Struthio camelus: one gene and its partners. The protein of the gene in region 3 purifies or fractionates together with the protein of the main gene of each other region. This does not show direct contact. Links are inferred from orthologs where the notes say so. Each region holds a gene or a part of one and is shown on either strand. Other genes may lie near its edges. The genes, in order: KLC1, APBA2 and CLSTN1.

What was found.
Region 1: the proteins of CLSTN1 (region 3) and KLC1 purify together in Homo sapiens (co-immunoprecipitation; 3 studies listed by BioGRID and IntAct, with this or other methods). This does not show direct contact. The link is inferred for Struthio camelus from reciprocal best matches to the Homo sapiens genes CLSTN1 and KLC1.
Region 2: the proteins of CLSTN1 (region 3) and APBA2 purify together in Homo sapiens (affinity purification with western blotting; 3 studies listed by BioGRID and IntAct, with this or other methods). This does not show direct contact. The link is inferred for Struthio camelus from reciprocal best matches to the Homo sapiens genes CLSTN1 and APBA2.

Annotation. Positions count from the first base shown.
Region 1 is NC_090946.1:72,487,661-72,495,762, forward strand, and holds the start of KLC1 (kinesin light chain 1), read left to right. Parts: upstream 1-4,899; 5' UTR 4,900-5,255; intron 5,256-8,102. UniProt on the Homo sapiens protein: Kinesin is a microtubule-associated force-producing protein that may play a role in organelle transport. The light chain may function in coupling of cargo to the heavy chain or in the modulation of its ATPase activity.
Region 2 is NC_090953.1:18,938,668-18,946,797, forward strand, and holds the start of APBA2 (amyloid-beta A4 precursor protein-binding family A member 2), read right to left. Parts: upstream 3,796-8,130; 5' UTR 3,695-3,795; intron 1-3,694. UniProt on the Homo sapiens protein: Putative function in synaptic vesicle exocytosis by binding to STXBP1, an essential component of the synaptic vesicle exocytotic machinery. May modulate processing of the amyloid-beta precursor protein (APP) and hence formation of APP-beta.
Region 3 is NC_090962.1:5,752,522-5,761,103, forward strand, and holds the start of CLSTN1 (calsyntenin-1), read right to left. Parts: upstream 3,386-8,582; 5' UTR 3,377-3,385; coding exon 3,274-3,376; intron 1-3,273. UniProt on the Homo sapiens protein: Postsynaptic adhesion molecule that binds to presynaptic neurexins to mediate both excitatory and inhibitory synapse formation.

The DNA of each region.
Region 1 (8,102 bases), on a different chromosome or scaffold from region 3:
TAACTAAAATTAAAATCTAGCGTGGCATTTTTGAAAGACTAGGGGAAAGCAATTTTTGTAGTGAAACTCAGGAGAATTTCATCAGAACTGGCACCTAATATAAAGCCACCTTCCTCATGCAGAAATCCCTACAATTGCTACCAGTATTATCAAATAAGAGCCTTACCTGATCTTATTGCATGTAATCTGGCAGCCAAACCTGATGAGTTAGCAAACCTCCATAGAAGAATGCTGACAAGCCGTATAGGTAACAAACACCTGGTGTTCAGAGGAAGAGAAAGGAAGGGGAGAACATATGTAGTAATAATGCAGGCACTTAGAACTACTGTATCATACACTGAATGTTCTTACTCTAGTAGTGGCTAAGATTAACACGGTATTGCACCAATAGGGTGTTAACGTTGATTTCATCTAAAGGCTTTAATACAGTGTCTGCAATGGTTCAGTGACGGAGTAAGTGGAAAAGGGAGAGTACAGAGAAGGAACGGAGGAGAGTACACAGTGGTATGTTTCCGGATGTATAAGCACTAAAAGTCATACAGAATGAATGTGGAGAAGAGATCCTTTCCAAGATAGGAAGGTGTTGGTGGTTAATATAGTAAAAGTGGTACTGACTACAGACCATGGAAGCAGACAAGGAAGAAAGTTTCTTCATCTTTGAATGAAATGAAAGGTATGGCAGAAGCAAAAAAAGAACAGAAATTGCTAGTGGGGTGAAATAAGTATGAACAGGTGTGAGCGGTCCCTCAGAGGTGGGAACCTACTCCTTGGATGCAGGGAGTGAAGATACAAGTCAAGGGGTTTGTAGAGGAGAGCTTCTGACGATAACTAAACTGTTAGACGTTCTACCGTTTGAAGTATCTTGGGAAATACTGACAGTGTCTGTAAATTCATATAGCACAGAATATTATGGGTTGTCCAACGGCACAATTCTCAGGAAATCCTTGATCATTTAATACTTTGCACATCATAGAGGAAACGAGGATATAGAAACGTAGCTGTGTTGCTGAAATTGTCTACTATTTTTCTTTATGTTCATACAGTAATATTGACATGCAAGTTGTCTAACAGTTTCTAGCATTCATCTGGTTACTTTAACTGAATTAGTTGAGGATTTTTAGTCTGTTTTTTATGATAGAAATGTTTTAGAGCTAACTGAAAGGCTTTCCAAAACATTCCAGTGTCCTTTGAACTTTAATAATGCTGCTATGTAATAGCTATGAAATGAAGGGAATTTGGGGTAGCAAAATGTTAATGTCCACAGCAAGCATCCTGCTCTGCTTAAAAGAGTAACAGAAATTAACTAATGAAATGACCTTGTGAACTTTAATTACATTGCATGATCTTCTTGTTATTTAACAATAGGGCAGGGGAAATAGAAGAGAGGGTAGAAAAGGGCAGGGAGAAGCACACTACCTTTCATTTCTTGCAGCTTTTTAGACATCCTTGTGGCTAAGGAAAATTAACTTGCATGTAAATGAAGCATATTGTCTTGGGGAGTAGGATCGTGAGCAGTGTTTATTTTACTTAGTACTTTAATGCTATGTCCAACAGTGGGTTCCCTATGGTAAGTTCAGGCACCTGGAGTATAATAATGAATCATGTCAAAATACAGTCCTTTTACTCCAAAGTGCTCGAGCTCCATAATAACAAGGTAGTTCTGCGTGCATTAATTGCACATAAGCACAAAGGAGTTAGACTAAAACTGTGTGGAACCACGTACTTGACGCTTTTGACTCTTAAACAGTGATTTTTGTTTGCTGTTTTCCGTATGGGAAATTCTTTTATGAAATATGAATTCTTTGTAAAGAATATAAATTAGCTTATGCAACTGTCAAGTGATCATGATGAAAAACCAGACAGGTTCCTGAATCTGGCCTTTCGGTATTTATTGTTGCCAGGATGCTTTTACATAGCATTTTAGCAGTGGTTGAATTTATTCCAATTTAGTGCTTTATGGCAGCCCATATTTATAAAATGAAATCATGGATTTTATAGACGGTAGGATTAGATTTAAAAAAAAAAAAACTTTTGTCTCCTTCTTCTAGGAGGGAAGATGCTCTAAATCTAAAATTATTTTTTTGAATGACAATGGTAAAATAAAACATCGCATGCTTCCTAAATGAAGTGAACATGAATTTCTTTGTAGAAGCTTCCTCTGACTGGATGTCAGTCAAACTGAACTTGGGAGTTTGCTGTGTGTATTTCTCACATTGTTACGTTACCTCAAAACGTAAGAGTTTTGTGTTGTATTAGCTTTACTGCTTGCTTTTTTCCTCCCACTGTGAATTACAAACCTTCTTTTGGGAGAGGAGAGAAATGGGTATATTGAGGGAAAAAGAATCTGGCAGTGTAAATAACATGTTTTGGGGTTTTAATATCCACTGAGATGTCTGCAGAAAACCACAGTGACTTTGTGGCAGATAAAGACTATTCTAGAGACAGCAAGTCTAGATCACTTCATCCTAAAAGCAGGGCAAATAGGATAACTAACTCCTTAAGAGAAGATGCAAATGTGGGGCAATATTACAGTTTTACTGCTGGAAGAACTTAGATAATTCTTACGTAGATTGGACAGGAAAAACAAGATCCAACTGAAGAGAAACTCTTATGGTACTTGCAGTCAGGCAGAAGCTTGAGGAAGAAGCAGGCTGACGAAGTCTCTTTTGCCTCTGCTCTTCTACTGCGTGCCATAAACAGAGGGGAGTAATACCACGCTTTAGTTCCATTGAACTGATCAACCTTCCTGCACCGGGGAGCTTATAGCGTGTGCTACTTATGCAAGAAATTGCAAGCATACTTCATTAGCCTGCATATTATGAATCAGGGTCATCGCTGGAGTAGTTGCTTTGTTCAGAGATGCTCAGAGATCCCTGGGGTAAGCAACTAATTACAGAAAATCTTGTAAAGTATATGTGTGATAGGAAGAAAGTAATGAATATTGTTTATTTAAAAGATAGGCGTGGTTCCTTTGAATCAGTTCTCTTGCATAATTATGTAATTAGGACGTTCTATTTTTAATTAAATCTCTTGCATATTCATGAAAACGCTGAACTTGTGGACCCACAGGCATGATTCTTATTTTTAAAATGTAGTTTGTATAAAGGAATGCCTTTCAATTCCTTTTTTTTCCCCTTTTCACATTACTGTCCAAACACCTATTTCACAGTATTATACATAGTTAGGCTGGCCTATCCCCTGACTTTCCTGTCCAAGCTGCCCTGTGATGATAAACCACACAAAATTATCAGAGGAATGTTATTTTAAATGGAGATGAGAAACACAAAAAGCTGCTGCTCTGAAGTACATGTATCACAACTGTTTTTGCTAGAAAGCTCGATCTCTGTAAGATGTGAATCAGCAGTATTCTGGAAGTATACTTCAGTTCCCTCAGCTTTTCAGATCCAACAGTAATTCTCTGTCCTTGCAGTCTGTAGACAATCCACTTCCCCCCAAACTTTATGTTGTTCCTCATAGGCTTCTGTGAACTGTCTTTTCCTGTTCTACTTCTTTGACGACAGCATTAGCTTTGATTCCTTTTCCGTCTTCCTGCTTCTTCTTAGTCTTGCTTTCTCACCTCATTCTTGTTCTCACATCTGCCATCTTCTAGATGTGTTCAGTGTTACATGTGAAGGCAAATAACACGTAAGCAGAGCTTTCCTTTTATATTGTAAGGTATACCACTTAGATGACACATTTTGATTTAGCACTATACCTCCGCATGGTTCCATAAGTTAATGATTCATACCTGTATCTCCTGTAGGAGTTACATGTATGGTGCTCAGGCAGGCAATACGCCCCATAATAGTCTGTCTAGACTCTAATAACTCTTTCATAAAGTTGGGCTGTCACTGTTCCCTGATGATTCCTAATGTACATTTTACTGTTGTGTCATATCTTTAATCCCAAACCCCGGCTCCTTCCATCTTCCTTCATTTCTGGGATGGACTTCTACTGAACAGAATATAAAGCAATATGGAGAAAATCTTGTGACCAGTCTCTCCTCTTTTGAGAGAATGGGAGTGAAATGAGACACTGCAAGGAAATGCAGTTCTTGGTGTCACTAAAAGTTATGATGAAACTCTTGTTTTTCCTTTTATGAATAAACCTATAGAACAATAGGGATCTTTTATTATGTTCAATGCGCACCTAAGACAAGGGTGTGGAAACGTATTAGCAGCCCGTGAATCCTGGGAGGGGACCCAGCCTCCATAGCATTTGTACTTCAGCCTCGGCTGTCCTTTGTGTGACCTGTACATCGACTGCAAGCTGCCTGCGTGCTGCAGCTCCTTTAATGCGCCTTTGTTCCAGAGGTGCTTGAGAAGGGACCACGGGCTTTTTATGTCCTATTGTCAGCCTTATAGCAAAACAAAATTCCAGAACGTCTTTCCAGGGCATACAAAACCATAAACATGGGAAATACCCGCACCCTACCTAGGGACAACACCAAGGCTGGGTCACCTGAGCGTGCGCTTAGCAAACGTCGGGTTTTGCTCGTGACAGCAGCACCTTTCACGCACACGCGCCCTTCCCCCCCGTCCGGCGAGGGGGCACGGCCTAGGCCCGTCTGCCCCGACACGGCCTCGCACCTGAGCCCTTGAAGGCCTTGGCTCAGCATCTTCCCTGCGCGGCGCCGGGCAGGGAGGGGCGCCGGGCGCGGCTGCCCAAGGCGGCCGGGGCCGGGGCGGCCGTTGGACTCGCACTCGCCTCGCGGGCGGCCGTTACCCGCCGCGCGCGGGGGGGGGGGCGGGGGGGCGGATGACATCATAGACCGTGTCGGGGGGAGGTTCTAGAAAGAAGGGCGCGCGGGGGACTGTGGGAGAAGGAGTGGGGGCGCCGCCATGTTGCGCGGGGCGGGGCGACGGGCTGCGGAGGCGGCGGGGCGGGCAGAGGGGCGGCGGGGGCGGCGGCGGCGGGGGCTGCCTGCAGCTGTCAGCGCCCGCGCCTCGGAGGCAGGGCCCCGCGCCGACCTCCGCGGCCGTCGGGTCGGGCCGGGCCGGGCCTGTCAGTGCCTCTCAGGCCTTCGGAGCGGCCGCGGTGCCGACCCGCTTCCTTCGCTTCTCTCTCTCGTTCTCTCTCTTTTCTCCCGCCCCCCCCCCCAAAAAAAAAAAAAAAACACCCTTTTCCTTCCTCCCTTCCGCCCGCCCATCGCTGACATCCTCCTCCGGCCGCCTCTTCTCCGCCCCCGCGGGCTGCGCGGCCCCCGCCGCCTCTGCGAGCGCTGCGCACATCGCCCGAGCCTGCAGCACCGAGCGGTGAGTGAGGGGCGCGCCAGCCTCTGACAGCGAGCGGCGGGGCGGGGGGCAGCCGGGGGCTTCGGGGCTTTTTATCTGCGCCTTCCTGTCTGCCGTTAGGCAGAAACAACAAAAGGTTGGGCTGGCCGGCTGGTCGCCTGCAGCTCCGGCTGACAGCCGGCCCGTTTCGTGTGCGGTGGGTTGGGTTTTTTGGGTAGGTGGGTGGGGGGGAGGCGAAGGGGAGGATGTTTCCCCGTGTTTTATCTAAAGCTCTGTTAGTTGTAATCACCCGTGGGGAGCGCAGCGCTGGGGGGGAGGAGGAGGCGCCCCCACCCCCACGGCAGGGATGTGATCGGCTTCGCTTTGTCCCCTTGCTGGCGTCGGTCCGCGCTGCAGCCCGGGCCGGGCGCCGCCCAGGGAGGGGACCGCGGGCAGGGCGGGGCGGCGGGAGGGGGCGCCGCTTCGCCCGGCTTCCCGGCTGGCGGGCCAGCGGCCGCGCGCCGGTTTTACTTTATTGTGCCTAGTAAGCTAGTCGTTGCTAATTCTGAAATGGTGAAAGAGGAGTTCGGGAAGACAGCTTGGGTTTCGCAGTGACCAGATTTATAACGTTATAGGGCACCAACCCATGCTACGGTCTCAGACGATTCTCAGACTTTGATCTTGACCCAGGAGATATCTACAGTTCCAAAATAATGAAGGAAAACGTAGATTATGAATGCTTAATTTTAGCGAAATAACATTAATACATTACTGACTTTATTGATGTCTATCGTTTGCCTAGACGTTAATTAGAAAGACTTCTAAAAATCTTTCTCTTTTTGGCTTTTTGTTTTTAATATTGTTAGATAACAAAACGTCTGATCTGTAAATCTGCACAGCAGTTGTGTACAGTCACAAGAAAGGACTTCTTGATTCTTTAATGAATGCTTTGTTCTAAGGGTATTGGAGTATGTTTTAATGATCAAAGCAGCATCACCTAAATTAATGCTGCTAACTGGCTTTTTGAAGGCTAAGTCAATTATGATGCTTTTTTTTTTTTTTTCTTGTTAATCATTTCCTACAGTGTTTATTACTTAAATGTAACAATGGTAGTCAAATACTGAATATGGAACCAGAATACAGAATCAGAAAGTAAGGCCAACTAGCAAAAAGTGAAAGGTTGTTTTCATGGCTTACTTTGAACAGCAAAAATGTGAGCAAATGTCGCTCCTGATATTATTTTATATCACAGTTAAACATAAAATTGTATTAAATGAGAACTTATTTTAAAATATAATTTCGGAGTTCTTGCTGTTGGCCGAAGGCACAGTAACAATTACCCTAGGAAGTAATTGTCTCTTTCTCTTCCCCTTTTGTATTTGCACTGCACTTAAATAGGAAACTTATGCTCAGAGGGTGTGCATTGGAAAGCTAAAAAGGAACCTTCAAGATTTAGATGGTTAAGCATTTTAACTGAACAGATCTTTTTAAATTCAGCATTGAATTTTGATTTCTTTTGGAAAATAGCTTTATTTTAATTGATTATGAATTCCAAAGCTTCACTGAAACATAGTAGAGGATAATATAACCCTCGGATTATAGCTATAATTGAAAGTAACACATTCAGCATTTACTGGCAGCAGTGAGAAAACTGATCCATTTGGTGATTCTAAGCAAAAGGCCTTGTATTTTGTAAGCCAATTAAACAATTTTTTTTTTTTTTCGGTGAGCACATGGTTTAATAACGCATTTCTATGAAATCATTAAAAATGTGGAAATCTCTAGCTGTTCTCTTTGGATATGCTTTTTGTATTATGCAGAACCATGTGAGGAAATGCAGAGAATAGATATTGTCAGTTCTCAGAGTCACACAAGAATGCAGTATCACTTCTGCATCATGTTGCAGTTAAAGTTTGGCAACCTTTCTCCTTCCAAAGGATGATGATTGGGCTAAACAAATCCATTAATGAGAAATTTGAACAGCAGTTGGGTTTAAATTCCATTCATTTTATCATAAAAGTGCCATCGTATGTAATTAAAAAAGAGAATGAAAGAGTTATGTCTACCTCCCTAAAACTGTCTTGAAATTGTCTCATTTACTGTTCATCACGTTACTGTGAGATGGTAAAAGTGGCCTAATAATGGAAAATGATTTAAAAAAAAAAAAAGTAAGTCTTTTTTGGCAAAAGAGGAATTGCACACTAAACTGCAAATGGAGTTTGCAGGAGTCCAGAATAGGATCTACTGAATGCTTTCTGACATAAAAGAATCGAGAATAACGCTCAAGAATGCTGTATGTGATATAAGAGCAGTTGCTGCTTGCCCTGCTTATGAGGAACTTTCTTTGATGATACCGGAAAACCCTCACTTGTGTGCTATTTTTATGCCCTACACCTCTCTCTCTCTCTATATGTCTTTGTACGTGTATCTGTATACATATACACACATATTTATGTCTGTTATTTCGCTGGGAGTGTAGGGAAGTACTGTATCTCCATATTGAGTTCTGAGTCCATTTAATGCAGCTTCTGTTTCTCTTGAGACTTGTGGACTTGTGCAGTTACTCTTCCATCTCTTCCTCTGCTTGGCTTCTGTGGCAGACAAATGCAACTGAGTTTATTGTAGGGTTAACAGCATATCTGCAGATGCATAGTTTATGATTGTTTTAAAACTTAATTCGCTGTACAAATAATTACAAAAATAGTATTTCTTTAAGAGGAGTGGAAAGCAAGCAAGTTCAGGCAAATAAGCATAATATATTCTTTATTTTAAAGAGTCATGGTAGCAGACAGTGATGAGCACAAGCGTGCTAAGCCAATTTAAATAGACGCTTTATAGTCTGTCTGCCTCAAGGTAATGTTCAGTATGACGCATCTCAAAAAATGGGAT
Region 2 (8,130 bases), on a different chromosome or scaffold from region 3:
AGCGGGAGTCCAGGTGGGGATCAGTGGATGTCAGCACTGCAGAAGCGCTGCTATTTGAACATCCTTATCTAGACCCCAAACCTCACACCGGTTATGCTTGAAACACTTATCCTTTTGAAGACTTCCTGTATCCCTTTTTGCCAACTTGTCCTTTCCTCTTCATCTACCTCTAGTTCAAAAGAAAACGATCCCTTCATGCATGAGTATACTTCAGAGTATGCACCTTTAGCGGTATCTCACTCAACCTTATTATCTAAGAATGATAATACTTTTTCCTTGTTCTCCCTATAGGGCTTCTGGTTTTTCCTCCTTCTCCTAGGTGGAAATATCTATCAACCCTACAGTTTTCCATAGCACCCCTGCTCAGCTCTAACTTAGTCCTCTTGAAGTGTGAGTTACCCTCCTCTGCTGCAGTAGGTGAATGAAGGCAATAAGTACTGCAGCCAAAAAGAAATATGGTGCACTCAGATGATACAGTGCATTTACCCACTGGCACTAGAAGGAAATAGCTTATTCCTTAACTGCTTTTACCAGTTGTAGAAGACTCTTTTTTCTGGAAAACAATACTATTAGCCAAGATGAGACTTAAGTTTTAGATAAAAGTGAGACTTGGAAAAAATGTCCTCACAGATGCCATGACAAAAAGTTTGAGTGCTGTACATTCTGCTCCCACACGCAGGACAAGTCTAAAGCACTGAACGCTTCAACCAGCTCTCCAGGGTAAATGGGTCCTCAGGAACGGAAAGAAAAAAAAAAAAACACCACCACCACCACACAAAACAAAACCACAAAAACCACACCACACAAGTCAGATCACCATATTTTAATTCTTCCTCAGTAGAATAAAAGCATTTGCAAATACCTAAGGTATTCATAATGAATGCTCAACTCAGCAATCACATGTTTGGTGGAATGTCTAAGAATTAGTGATTTCTGATTCTGCTTCAAGCTCTTCCTCTTACCCTGTGATGTGCATGTGACTGTATCAGTGCTTTATTTTCCCCAGCTATAAGAACTACTAATATGCTTCTTGTATTAATGTTGCAATGCTTTATTTGCCTCACAGGAGCTCTGAAAGACATTACTTAAGAAAGGTCCTTGCTTGCAAGAAGTAGGTTCTTGCTTTTGTTTATATCTGCATTAAAATACAAATATGCTAACCAAATAGCTCTTCCTACAATCAGGAGTAATATATTAGTTTACCCACACAGGTAATAGCAGTTGGCTGGTATAGCATACTAACATCTACATTCTGTCTTTGCTGAAATGCAATAGTTTTAGGATGGAAGTTCTACTCCTTTCTAAAAAACTCTGACTTCTGGAAACATGCCTGCTTCTTAGATCACTTAAGGATGAGCACAAACTTGCAACTGTTCATAGGCTCATAAGATAATTCAGGTTGGAAGGGACCTCCAGAGGTCTCTATCCAACCTCCTGCTCAAATCAGGGTCAACTGACCAGGTTGCTCAGGGTTTTATCCAGTCTGGTCTTAAAAACCTCCAATGAAAGAGGCTGCATAAGCTTTCTGGACAACCCATTCTCTTGCTTGACTGTTGCAGGGGAAAAGTTTCTCCTTATGTTGAAGCAAGAGAGCTTCAGAATGGACATATGCCTGCTGTTTCTCATTTTCCTGCTATGCACTACTGTGAGTAGCCTGGCTCTGCCTTCCTGATGATCCTGTAGATACCGGGGAGCTGTTGTTGGGTCCCCCAAAGCCTCCCCTTCTCCGGGCTGAGCAAGCCCTGCACCCTCGGCCTCTCCTCATCGGGCCTGTGCTCCAGCCCTGGCCAGCTTGGTGGCCCTCGACTGATCTCACTCCAGTTTATCAATCTTTCTTGAACTGAGGGGGCCAAAACGGGACACAGTTTTACAGGCACAGTCTATAAGTGTTGAGTAAGGAGGGATAATCACTTCCCTCAGTCTACTAGCTTCATACAACGTAGGATGCTGTTGGCCTACTTGGACTTGCTCACGTGCAGTTTGCTGTCCACCAGGACCCCAGGGCCTCCTCAGCAGTGCTGCTCTCCATCTACTCAGTCCCTAGCCTGAGGATTCTTCAGGATTCTTCCTTAGACTCATAAGACTTTGACCAAAAGAGCTGGGCAGCCATGGCCTTTTATAGAGCCTTATTCTTTAAGATCAGAGGATCAAAGGGAAGCAATAACGTGGCTACTGATGACAGGCAACACTGGATTTTTAAAAATAGCTCTAGAGACTTCCAAGAGCAGAGAAGGGCTAAACCACTAGAGAATTTAGGTTTAGGAAGCCTGACAGAATCAAGGTTTACAAGAACAGGTCCTCAGCCTGAGAGCCGAGGAGCCCAAAGCAGCGTACAGCAGAGGACAGCGACTTCCCCCGCAGTGGTTTGGTACCCGTAGCACCACGTATGGAAGGAAAAGCTCTTTCCTCCCTGTCTGCCCCTTACTGAGGGGAACCTGGACTATATAAATTTCAGTGTTACGCTTTAAATCAGTTCAACATACAAATAATCAGCACATACTGAATTTTTACTTCCTAAAATGGCAATAAACAATTACACTAGAATTCCTCCCTCTTAAAAGTCACCTTATGTGGAAATAGTATTGCCTATACACAGCCACACAAAGCTAAAATAGCAGTTTCTTCTGTTCTTTACATATACAGTTCTGCTGGTTAAATAAGGAGGAATTCTTGGGTAGCAGGTATAATAATACATGAAAAACCTTGTCTGCAAACAGATTTCCCACCCCTGTGAGATTATATGGTGGTTTTGACAAGGTAATATAACTGAAACACTATTTGTATTTTTTTAACCCCAAAAGACTATAGCAATTTAAGACTTTTCTTAAAAATCAGTGCACCACATCTTATTGCCGTACTATGTACGCTGCATAATCTCTTGCATCTTTATTGAAATTTCTTTCCTTTCACGCCCTCGCTGCCATGCGACACGCATCAGAAGGGCGCCGAGGAAGTGGACCGGACCGCAGGCGTGCGAAAGCGCAGTCCGCGGGCCGAGGCACGACGACCGCCACCAGGCAGTCCTCGCCCCTCCAGCATCCAGCTCCCCAGGCTCCCCGACCCCTTTTGTTACGGCAATGCAAAATAAATAAACAAATACATAAATGAAAGGGGCACCAGTCTCCAAAAGGGGAAACCAAACCATGTTCTAATGTTTTGTGCCGTTCATCTGAAGGAAAACGAAGTGCCGAATTTTTAATCGAGTAGCTTTTTCCCTCCAGATCTCATTATGAAGTGGGGGGGGGGGGGGGGATCAGAAGCTCCGCTCCGTTTGCCGCCCTGGCGGCACGGTAAATCAGGGGCAGACACAAACTCTTGGCGGTGCTGCGCTGCGGGAGGGCTCCTCACGCAGCTCCCTGGGCTCTGGGAAGGCGCGTTAACCCCTCAGCCTCCGGCCCCCTGACGCGGCGCCGGCACCGGGCACGGACAGCGGCACCGCCGCCCCCCGCTTCCTCCCCACGACGGCGAGGCAGAACAGCAGCTCCGCGCCCGCGGCCCCTGGCTGCCCTCGCCCCGCGCCCGCGTGTGAGGGGCGCAACGGCCGCGGGAGGGGGAGGGGAGGGGGCGGCGGCGCCCCCACAGCGCCCGCCGCCCTGCGGAGCCCCGCGGGGTGTCCGTCCGTCCGTCCGCCCGCCCGCCCGCTCCCTGCCTCCCTCCCCCGCGGGGATGACACCGCCCGGCCGCCGCTCCTTACCCTGCTGGCAGCGGCGGGGCCGGTGCCGCAGCCGGCGGAGCGGCGGGCAGCGGCAGCCGCTCTTTTGTGTGCCTGCCTCGGCGCCACACACCGCGACGGCGGCCGCGCCCGGGAAGCTGCGTGCCACAATCGCGGCGCCCGCCCGGGAACCTGCATGGCGCATAGCCGCCCTCCGGGGCGCGGGGCGGCCGCCGGCTCCCGCCTCGCCTCGCCTCGCCTCGCTTCGGTTCCGGCCCCGGCCTCGGCCCCGGCCTCGGCCCCGGCGGGGGCGCCCGCGCCCTCGCGGCTCAGCCCGCTCTCCCCGCCGGCCGCCAGCCTGAGGCGGGGGTCCCGCCCGGCCCGCTCGCGGCGGTGGGAGAGGTGCGGGCAAAATGGCGGCTGCGGGACGCGCCCCTGGCCGTGCCCCCACCGGCCTTCGAGCCTCGCACAAAATGGCGCGGGGGCGAGGGAGCGGTGGGGGTGCTTTGAGGTGGTGGGTGTGCTCTGGGGGTGGATGTGGAGAGGCTGGTGTGGCAGCCCCGAGCCGACGTCGGCCGGGCCCGGGGAGGGCCGGCTGCAGGGCAGGTGGCGGTGCCCGGCGTTGGCCTCGCTGGAGCTGCCCCCGCAGCCCTCCAAGCAAGAAGGGGTTGGCGTTGCGGCTGGGCGCAGCGCGGCTTCCGCAACGGGCACGTGCTGCCACGGCATCGGACTTAACAAGTGCTAACCACAGTGTTTGCCCCACGTAGAGGTTGAAAGTGGAAGATGCTCTCTATATAATATTTAAAAGCTCACTGAAGTGCGAGAGTTGCTCTTAGGGTGAATGATAAACATAGTTGGTTCCTCAGGCCTTGTATTCGATGCTACTAGATCTTTCTGTTGAACCTCCTGCAAGGGTGATTGCTTTGTATGTAAAGGAGCATGTGTGAGATCAAGTACTCTTAAACCAAATTATGGCAGGATTTGCTCATAAGCATGCGAATTTCAGACTTCTAGCTATTCTTATGGTTGAGCGTAAAAAGTAATCATGTTGTTCTTATGACAGCAAGAGTGAAAAGTCATTTTAATTTAATTATATTGCATTCCCATCAGCTAGATCTCAATGTTCATTGTAATCACTGCGCATCCAACCTGGTGCGCTTCGGTTTGCCCTGGGCTAGCTGTGCCCCTTGCTTAGCGCCGCCTCAAATTCCGTGTACGTGCAAAGGCCGTTGGTAGAAACACCAGCCTGGGGCGTCTTTATTCTTGGTTTTCGTTTTGTTGTAAAGATTTCTATTACGTAATAGAAATGCCTGCTACCCAGTAGCCATTTTAAGGTTGCTGTTTTCTGTTACAGCTTTCTACGATTACCTTTCTCGTCTATCTCTATCCTAATTACTTGACTGATTTGGGTTCTTTTTTGAAGATGATGAAAACTCAGATACTGCATAAACTGTAGGTATGCTGCACGCTAATGCAGGGAGTTATAAATCATCTATAGCTGGGTTGTATGAACATTTGAAAGATTGTGTTTCATTGTTTGTGTTTAAACGTTTGCGAGATTCATATTATAAATTCTCAAAACTATTAACTTAATGAAATAGCCTCAGGTACATAAGGAAGTTTTCACTTTCTCGATCAATACACCAAGAGCAGTATTCCCAGCTTGATCGGGAAGGTAAGTGTTTGTTTCCTGAAGCTGCTGCGGCTGACCTCTCAAAGACCACAGTGGTTCCAAAGTAAGTGGACTTATAGGGGCTTCTTATTTAAGTTCCCAACAAGCATGCTTCCTCCACCTCGTTTGGTGACTAAGCCAGATGGTTATTATAGGAAATGACGTAGCAAAATGGAAGGCAAAAATAAGGTGCGTTAATATTAAATCTAATAATGCTCTTTTCTACTAATCTTCAATTTTTGGAAATAATCTTTTCCATACAAGACCTCCACAGAGGCAGAAGTGGGATTAACCCATCAAAGGTTAAAGGATTTTGCAGTCCTAAAATGGTGAGGACTTCCATTTTAAAATGTAGTGTTAGCATTTATACATTGCTGTTAGTTCCTATTTACATATTAACAGTCTTGCATCCCACATGAATCTGTGCTTCAGGTTTAAATTCTTAGTTACCTTTCTGTGTCTAGTGCCACTCAGCAGCTTTATGAGAAATACTATGGCTACCATTTCAGGGATTTCTTCTATTTTAGAGTCTTCAATAATTTGTCCAGCAGGACAACTGCATTGGTAAAATAATTGAGTGTTTTCTGAGGCAAGTAAATCTAACTTTTTCTCTTAATTAAAGGTGCTCGAGTACAGCAAACTCACTACAGGAAGAGGTTCTTAGGCAGAGAGAATCAACTGAAGCTCCAAGGGAATGATTCAAAGCGCTTACTGTAAGTACATAAATTAGATATTGTGAACATCCCCATGTTCCCTGGTCTTTCTGTGAGAGTTTCTTGATCACACCACTTTCCGTTAATCTTTTTTTTAGCAATAAAGTCCCAATCCAAGGAACATATTTAACACTAGACAGCGGTGCTTCTGCATTTGCATTAAGAAAGTAAACTCTAGTCTCGGCATTAAATACTGAGGTATTATCTTTCCAAAAGGTGGTCGGCAGAAGCAGTTCCTCCAGTAAATCATTCACAGCTTTCCAAATTGTCAAGCTTACAACTGTATTAATCACTGTAGCTTGGCTACATGTCACGATAGAGTACGTTCTTCTAACGCTTATGATGCATTGGGTAAATATGGTAATAATGAAAGCAATTAAACTCCGAATCAAATCTTGAGATTTCTTAAATTCAGATTAATTAATTGCAGTATAAGCATGGGAGATCCAGTGTTTTGGCAGACTTGCGAAAACGTAAGGTTGGATTTTAAAAGGCATGTATACAAGAACACGCTTTAGTGTCATTCCCAACTTAGGTGCACCTCAGAAGAAAGTGACAGTTCTAAATAACAACTTACTCTGCGTTAACTTTCTGTCATTTTGGTGAACTGAATCACTTCCCTGTGTGATCGGACAAGCCAGCTCAGTGTGAGCAGCAGGGACACGTAGATGGAAATGGGCAAGGAGTGTAGGACCTCTTCCCTTTGCAGTCAGTGACTGGTTAATTTGGCTCAGCCATCTTGTGACCCACACCCTACACTATGATCTACCTAGGCTTATTGCTTCAGGAGCTTCACAGTTCTAATAATGCTCCCGACATTCACACCTAGATACAAAAGGAAGTGCTTATGGATACACAAAATAACCAATCGAACTAAGGGTTGTTTATTGTATCACATAAATATTAACAGGTCTGTGGATGCAAAAAATGATCTTTCAGGCCAATATTTCAGCTAATGCTTTCCCTATCAGTGCTGGAGTCTGACTTCTCCACCTGTTAGTTCTTTTCTCAGCTTTTGAGCATGCTTCCAAGCTTGTCTCATCATACAGAATGAAATGCGTCCTGTAGCCATTCTCCTCCACCCAGCTAGAAGACTTGAGAGCAGCATAGAGGAATTCAGAAAAAGATATTTTGCATCATTTAATTATGAACCCTTTAGCTGGCTGAGTAATGCTGGTGCAGTATAGAAAAATGTATCTCGTCTGCCTCAAGCAGCATAAAATGGGAACGTGTTTGAACTCAGAGGGAAAAAGGACACATGGAGAGATTAGAACAGGAAACTAACTTTGACCCAACCGTGACAAAATTTACTGACAAAATGTTAATACTTCGTGTTCTGGAAAGCCTGACATTACTTAGCACCATCTTTCGTTTGCTACAAAAGTACAACAAATGCATGCTATACATTTTGGCTCCACTTTCCTTTTCAAAGCATGCTGAATATTTTGGCTCGACTTTCCTTTTCAAAGATGAACTGCAAAGTCTAAATGAAAACTGTGCTCAGACTGGAAACTTGCCAAAGGCCCACATCAAACAAAATGTGAAGGAGAACGTTATCAGAAAATAAGGTTACATTGCACCTTTTTTGAAGGAAAAAACACAAACAAAAACAGATAGGCATATTGAAAGCCTTACTCCTTTCCAAGGTAATCAGGCTCCAGTTATTTGAGTCACAGTTGTTCCGTCCAGAAGTTGTATACTGGTGCAACAGGGGCATATCATCAAGTGCCCCTTCACTGATAGAAACAAATCACAGTTGTCTGTTGCACCTGTCTGCACCCTTGAATTTCCACTAGTTTTCTTGATTATATTCCCCTTGCATGCTCGTGGTGGTGAGAGTGAGTCACGCCGCTATGTCTAAACTCCACCTCCAACCCCTCAAAAAGTTGAAATAATAAATTTCTGAGAATTGCTTCTGTGAAGGCTCTCTTGTTTAAGGTTAAGGGCTAGAATTGTAGCTAAAGAATAGGGTCTGATCCTGTTCCCACTGAAATCTATAGAAGTTAGGCCTACAAAAGGAAACTCCTCTCAGTGCATCTTAGCATTGCTTCTTCAGCTGTCTGGTTCTTTTGGCTATTTGTTCCAAGTCTAGA
Region 3 (8,582 bases):
CATCGTGATTTCACTGAACACAAGTAAATAGAAGAAATAACTGCACACATGCGAGATAAGGCTCACAAAGATCATAGAAAGTGCTTTTGTTCAGAAAGTCAACGACTATGCACCGTTCCCCCCCCAACCCCGGCAGAATAGTTTCATAGCTATAAACCAGTAAACTATCAGATATTTAGATTTCCATAGCAGAAAGTGCTGCTTTACCCAGAATACTCAGAATTCCCACTTAAACCTCTTGAGATAAGATGCTCTCATTAGGCTGTCCTGTGACTTGTTCGGGGTTTAACTTCAAGCCTTCCAATTTTCATGGGAAATCTGCCTAGCTTCTCTTTCCATTCTTCTTAAAAATTCCTTCCAAAGATCTGAAACTGATGAGTCAAATCTGCAAAAACATAAAGCCCTCAGAGCAAAGATATATTTAGGAGTCTAGGAAAAAAAAAGTTTCTATAGATACATTTCCCTGATTACTTGGCAAAGACAGCACAACTTGCGGTCTAACAATACGGGAGAAGACACCTGGCACGATGATGTTGCAAACACACGAAGTAAACTATGCTTGCTCAGAATATCACCTCTCCTCCATTTCAATTTCCATAGCACTGTGTCTTTTCACCTACAAATGGATAGGAAAATAGACTAATGTTGTTCACTAGTTATTTGATCTGAACAGATGACTCAATACTATGCTCTCCTAAGCATTATGCATTATAGAAAGGTCTGGCAAGGAAAATGACATTTAAAGCTTTCCGCTCAGTTACTTGTGTCTCTTCTCTTTTCAGCGGTCTCTTACCCTCAAAAATCCTTAGGAAAAAAAAAAAAATAGAACAGGACAAAATTGTAATGCTTTAGAATAATCTTATACTTCCTTCCCTCTAAATAAGAAATAGAAACCTAACTACCGGGCCCATACTACAAAGGCTCTCACCGTCTCAAATAAACATCTGCAATAAAACAGTGGTAGTGAGAAAGTGGTTTGTGGTTTGGATTTGAGACGTTCATACCACCAGAGAACTTCCTGAAATTATCACAGATCAGCAAAGCTTCCTCAAGATACTACTGCTTTGATCTGTATTCTACCTAAATGACAATAAGGCAGAAATGGTCCAGGGCAAAAAAAAGTGTCATGCTCTAGCTAGTCAGTAACCATGGAAGAATCAGCCATTATATAAACTGCCCTTCCATCTGAAAAGTCACTCCATTGGACCTCTCATTCAGCTCTGCTGATAAACACCCAATTACTTCACTCTGACAAACCCTCTTTCAGTACCCTGCTAACTACTGCTTTTCCACTGTGACGTGTCAAACACGATTAGAAACGTTTTGTTCAACCTGACCAAATACATGACAAGTATAATTAAACTAAGATTTTTGCATCAGTTCAACTGGAAAGGAATATACTTCTTCAGAACCTCAAACCACTCTTTGCCCCCCTCAAAATAACTACAGAGAAGATACGAGGGGTACGAGACAGTGGTAAATCAGCTAGATCTCACCTAATATTTCTGTAAGATCACACCCTCCAAAAGTTATTTCCATTGCTTTCCTTCACCACAAAAGAAACCACTTTGCACTCCCCTGTTCTAACCGTGCAAATACTCCGGACTGGAGAGAGCAACTGACCCTTCTGGTCTAGTCTTTCTAGGCCATTTCTGCACACTACTGAACAAAGCACAATGAAGTTTTCGCTACTTAAAACGCATCTTAGTGACCTTAGTAACAAGGATTTTTAAAGCCATAGATGAAAAATAAATAATAAAAAAAAGCTTTACCTGAAAGAAACGGAATAGACAATACAACACAAAACAGAAAATTTACCATAAAGACTTCCAAATAACAGAAAGACTTCTCTCGTAACAACAGGCAAATGAAAGCGAGTAGCTCTAGCAGCTTTCCTTAGTCAAGGTGATCTCCATCATCTACTTGGATATAAAATGCATCTTCATGTAACGTTACAAACAGGCCTACCCCACAGTAGCCAAAACATCCTGAGGACTAAGTTAACTGCACGTGCCAAGCCAAGCCAAACCTCACACTGTAACTCAGTTACATGTAATGAAGTTTAACAGAACAGGACTTCCAGCCGGCAGCTCTGTATATTAGTCTGAAAACAAGTACAGCTTCTAACAAATTGCAGACGAAAGAGCTGATCAACAGACCTGTCTGGTATAATGCTATGTAAACTTGCCATTCGCTTCCAGGGACATATCAGCTTTCTTCAAGAAAAAATCTTTTTTGATCTCTGTTCTATTCATAATTTCAAATAAAAGAAAAGCCTGTCAATTCAATGAGCTTCTGTTTCTGTACTGCTCTGGTAAGCATTAAATTACAAATTTTGGTTCCAAGAACACTAATGAAAAAATTGTACTTAAAAAGATCTTGTATGGGTAAATTATGGACAGCATCTAACAGTTTAGCAGACTTCTTGATTATAGCAGCAGTTTCATAATCCTACGAAAGGAAAATGCAGCAAAATACGTCTTTAACACAATGAAATGTTTTTTTTTTTTCCTAAGAGCAAGAATTTTGCTGTATTTGCAAGCCATTTTAAAGTGACAGTTCTAATCTACCTTCAGATTAGACACAAGATCACAAATCCCGTCGTGCGACCAACTAAACCTCGCAGAAAAGGCATTCCCAATTCGAGGGGTAACCTTCAGGTAAGGAAGCGGGGACAAGCCTCTCCTGAAACCTGCTCAGGAGGAGACCTGCAATGCGTATGCTTTTACTCAGCCAGATCAATCAATAGCCACAAGGCCGGTATTTAAAGACACTGGATCGCTTCAGGTTTAGCGCTGCTAGGCGCTATCGTTAGCCACCCAACGAGTATTCCTTATGTAAGCCTGAAGGTCAGGCTCCCCCACGGGCCCTGCGAGGTGCTTTACCCCCCCCCCCCCAATTCGGCTGGCCATCAAAGCTCCCTGCCCAGCCACAACCCCGTCACGGGTGTCAGCAGCGCACCCAGATCGCCCGCAGAAGGCGGCTTTGCGGCGGGCCGACAGTCTAGGACAGGGCGGGCTGCGCGTCCGCCCCCCCCCCGCAACAAGTGCGGGCGGCTGCCCGCGGCCGCGGCGCCAGGCTCCCGCGGGGGCCGTTATGTAACGCGCCTCCGCCGCCGCCGCGGGGCCGCCGGGCCTCGGCGCGGGGAAGCGGCGCAGGTGAGCGCCGGGGGGGGGGGGGGGGGGCAGCGGCCGCCATCGCCGCAGGTGCAACGGCCGCGGCGGGGCGCCCCCCCCCAAAAGGACGCGGCTCCCCCCCCCACCCCGCGCGTACCTCGAGCAGCCCCGGCCCCCGCGCAGAGCAGCGCGGCGAGCAGCAGGCGGGCGGCGGGGGCCGGCGGCGAGCGCGGCATCGCCGGGCGACGCGGCGGCGGCATGGCAGCGCGGTGCAGGGCAGCGCCGAGCCCCGGCTGGCGGGGCGGCTGCGGCGCCCCCGCTGGTCCGGGCTCCGCTCTGCGCCGCGCGCGGGGCTCGGGTCGGCGCGGCGCGGCTCGGCTCCGAGCAGGAGGCGGAGGCGGAGGGAGGGGAAGCGCCGCGCCGCGCCGCGCCGCTCCGCTCGCCGTTTCTCTCCGCCTCCCGCCCGCCCCGCGGCGCCAGCGGCACCTAAGATGGCGGCGGCGCGCGGCGCCCCCCCCCCCCGCGCTGCTACCGTTACTAGGCGGAGGAGGGAAGGAACCAAGGGGCGGGGGGCGGCGCCCTGCGGGGGAGCCGAGCGGCTCGGCGCGGTGGGCGAAACCACTGCGCGGGGGGGGGGAAGGGGGGTGCCGCCCGCCCCGCAGGGGATTAAACCCATTAAATCCGGGCCGAGATTTGCTTCGCCGCCGCCGGCCCAACCGGCCGGGAAGGGGGGGGGGGGTCCTGCTGCCGCCCCTGCGCAGGGGGCTGCTGCGGGGACGCCCCTGAAGGCGCCTGCAGCCCTAGATCCCCGTTAAAACCTCCATAAAACCCTTGTAAAGGGTCTTTTGCGGGGGGACTCTCTTGGAGCAGGATAAGGGCCCTTTGGGGAACTCCTGCGCCTGCCTGCGAGCGCCCTTTCTCCCTCTGCTCCTCCCGGAGGCAGGAAAGCTAGTTGCTCCTCGGTCAAAGATGGCAAGGGCTTCAGGAGAGCTCGGACAACTCCAACGCAACCCACTTTCATAATTCGAGACGCAGAGCAATCTGTTCCGCTCCCCAAAGAGTTTTTTCCGCCCGGAAAACCCATGGCCTTTACTTGCTACCTCTTAAAAGCTTTGCTACGGGGCGTGCAGAGCAGGAACAGGAGCCGGAGAGAAACGCATCACGCTCCAACACATGGCGCAGCGGTGCGCCAGTTACTATCCTGTGCCAGGTAGCGGTCCCTGAACCGAGCCACCAGCTGCCTCCGTATTTATTTATTTCACGGCCTGGGCGCTGCAGGCCACCTGCTTTAATACAGCTAAGACATCTTCCTTTTTTTTTTTTTTTTTAAAGGTAAAGCCTCAAGTCTAAAACCCTTTGATTTCTCAGCCTGTCTAACATATGCTGGATGGCAGATCATGTCAGAAGAAGCCTCTAGCCCATCTGTTGCCAGAGAGCCGAGCCTTTGCGTTCTGCCAACGCAGCTTCAGCTGACAGCACGCTACATTACGTATTTTGCTTTTGTCTGGAGAGCAGAAGAGCTGTCCAGCTCGCTAGGACTCTCAGACTAGTCTTACTGACTTCATGCACGAGTAAGAACCGTTGAGCAAGAACCACCCCGTGAGTGAAGACTTGCAAGGCAAAAGATCATCAGTTAAAGGATGGTTGTCCATTGATCAATGCATGATAAAACACAAACCTATTTGCCCAAATACTGCATTTGGATAGGCAATATAACTATGTACTAGGCTTGGAGGTCAATGCAAAAGTACCTGAAAAGGGCTCGCTAGTCAGTGGCCAGCAGGCACATATACACACACACATTAAAGTACTTTCTGCAAAGTAATGTATTTTGTACATTTAAATTGGAGAACCACCTCGGCTTATTAAGTAAGGCAGGAAAACAGTGTTCAAAGAGCAGAATTTGCTCTGCAGTCTACTTGAGCTATATCATGCGCCATAGCGGGGGAAAGAAGACTGCCATGACCACAGAAAGTAGGGGACTTCAGTGTTACCAGGAGGACTCATCTAAATGATTTTGATTCTGCAGAACTAGGAAGGGGAGACATTTTAAATAAATTAAACGTTCTTTCCAGGTAAACCTTATTTATTGCACAATGACACTATCAGCTCAGATTAATGAATCAGCTGAATTGGTCATGATGGAACTGGGAGATTTCCAAGGAAGGAGAAGGCTTTGATTGCTGTTACCTCTCTGAGCAACATTCCTCTGAGTCAGTTGTGACTAAGGCACTGAATCAATAAAGCCAGTAATTCTTTAGCATATATTTTGAGTTCAGTTAGATGATTTCGTTCAGTTAGATGAGTAAGCGGACTGAACTAGCAGGCCAGTGGCTGAGGACACAGAGAGTATAGGCGCTCCACCTGTGGAGGAGACATCAGACTCTGAAATTCTGATCCTATGTCACCACTGATGTTCCACTGGCACTTACTGTGAAAGTATGTGAAATACAACATCCTCTCCAAATCCTTAATAATAATAAAAAAAATTAAATTACCCAGTTTGAAGCCTTCTATGCACTAGTCTTATTTGCTGTTAAACAACAGCTATACTGTTTGCCAGAGGTAACTGCATTTCACAAGTTGACAGATTGGCACTTTCTCTGAAATGCCACATGCCATTATTTCAGAGCAATTCATAGAAAACTAACTTCAGCACCTTCATTTCTGCCACCTATCGTCCTCCTACTCTCCGACCTGCTTCTCAAGCTCAAACAAAAAAAAAAATCATCGATTTTGATTTTATTAGTAAGCAACAAAGCTGGAACAAATGGCTCCTGGCAGAACATGTTTTCTGTTACAGCTGAAAAACTAGCGGACTGATGTCCTTGAAATGAACAGCATGACTAATGCCCAGCTTGCAAGGACCCAGGAGGACACGTATTTATTGCACTTGTCAGAGTGGAGCTGAGCAGCCAGAAATGAAAAGATAAGCTGATAGGTAAAAATGAATGCCTTTGTCTGCTTGCTTCTTAAAGGAAGCTGGCGCATTTCATGCACAGAGAGAGCAGCGAGACTGGCCCAGTTAGTCAACAACAGATCTGGATCTGATCATTAGCGCTCAGACTCATAATTAGCATATACTCAGAATGTGCACTGTTATTTCTAGATATGAGATTTGGACATATGTTTAAAAGGCCCCAGCTCTGGGGCAAGGGTCCAGTCTCTAAATAGAGAGTCTAGAATTGGGTTTGCGAAAGGGTCCCATCTTTAAACAAACAGACTAGAACTGGCTTGGATTTCAACTAATGCTTGCCTACTATTTTGATTACAGACTATGACTGCTTTTAATGGGAAGTTAGAATGTAGAACCCAGTTTTATCTCCCCTGCCAGGTATTTGCTTCATCACAGCTGACCTGAGACCACTTCTGAAACAGGACAAATTGCCACTGAGACACCATGGTGTAAAGTAATTAAGCTCTGTGATAAGAGCTGCATGCATAGCCAAGCGAAACAGTAGACGAGGGCAACCACAAGCCGGTTCCTGAGAAGCTGTATTACAGCTCCACTCTAGCTCCCTCCTTCGCACTAGAGAAAGCCATAGGAAAATCCAAAAGTATTTTGCTAATTTGAAGTCTAGAGTTTTGCGGTTCCGATATGAGTTATCTGAGTCAAGCAGGAAGAATGAACCAGGATAATATTAAGGAAAAGGTAATTCAAGGTGAATATCAAAAATTAATTCTTCACAATGAGATCTATGAAACCACAGATTAGCCTCAGAAGGGAACAGGCAGAAATGGCATCTTCTAGGTCATTCAAAAGAAGTTTCCACAACAGAACGCTAGAACTATGCCCCTACCAGCTTGATGAGAAAATATAAACAGATAACCAACTAGGTCTTTTATAGCCTTGCTGTCCATAATATACAGCTCCTATCCTCTGGACACAAAGCAGCATAAAATTCATGCGTCTTTAGATCCACTGGATGACTTTTTTCTTTTTCTTTTTCTTTTTTTATTTTTTTTGCAATGTATGTAACCTGACTGTATATGTTGGATGGAAAGAATCAGAGGACTGGTTTCCCCCACACTTGAACATTTCCAGAACTGCTTTGATCATGTGTGAGAATTCATTTAGGGGATGCAAATGAAGGCCTTGGCAAGACGAAGAAGAAAATCTTCTCCCCTGACATTTCTCAACGTTCATAGAATTCTCAACAAGCCATTGAAGCATGAGTTCATCAGAGAGAGAAAAAAATTAAATAAGCAAAAAAGTACATAAAAACTAGTTTCCTCACAAGAAAACTAGCAGCATTAGCAATCTTCCTACCTTGTTTGTTTATTTTTCCTGCTTAGACTTACCTGCTATTGCAAAATACACATCTGGAAACATGAAAGCAATGAAGATGTAAGTATCTTTCCTTATAGAGACTGAATATTCTGCAACATAATTATAATATTTTACAACTCATTAGCACCTTCCATCCTAGGATCTCCAAGCATTTTACAAGCGTTAATTAATGCACTCTCACAATACTTCTGTGAAGTAGAAAGGCAGGTGTCTAGATGGGATGACAGGTGCATTACAATTGAATAAGACAGCATTTCCAGTCTTTTCATTTGCATATTTAGGAAAGCAGGGCACAGGGAGGATAGGTAAAATGAAGAAATATCCATAATACCTTGAAATACCTTAAGGCACATACAGACAGAGACAGACTAGCTTTTAAGTGCTTCACTAAAAAGCAGGACTCAGCTTGGGGACCTCAAGAAAATTTAGGCTTTCTGAACTTAGGTCTTTGCATCTGTTACCACAATGACTATTTTAAGCTGCATTATGTAAATAAGAGAGGAGTATGAAGGGAACTGGACCTGTTTCTTAAAGATTCATCTCCTTACTTCCAGGGGTAGTGGGCTCTGCTGAAGCTCTGATATCTTCTGGGAGGACGTCCACTGTACAGCAGCCTTTGAACAGCAATAAAGAAATTAGTTGTAAAGCTTATTAAAACACCACTAAAGACAAAGATGGAGAGAGTACAGCAAGTGAAGACAGATAACAGAAATAAATTATTCTACTAATCATCCCCTAACTCAATAAAATAAGAGCTGAAGTCAGGTGCTCTAGATGAGGCTTTACATAATGCGTGTCCACAGGAATCCCTGCTTTCTGGCTTGTTTCTTCATGTGCTGTGCTAACCTATTCCGAATAGCAGCACAGTGGCCCACACCCACATTAACTGCTTTCTTAATTTAAAGTTTCTTAATTTGTGTAGAAAACTGAGCTAGTGATTAACGCGGAGGGAGAGTGAAGAATCCTGGGTCTTCTTTCCAGCCCTATCACAGATTGTTTTGGGTCAGTCACTGATCCCTACCTTATTTCCTTATCGGAAAACATAATACATGCCCGAAAGAATGGCTAGATAAACCAAGATAAACTAAAGACTCAAATATTTGCACCAAGTACTGGTGACAAGGTTGAAATTACTCAGCTTGCAGTTTCTTTGTATTCTTCAGGTTCATGATACT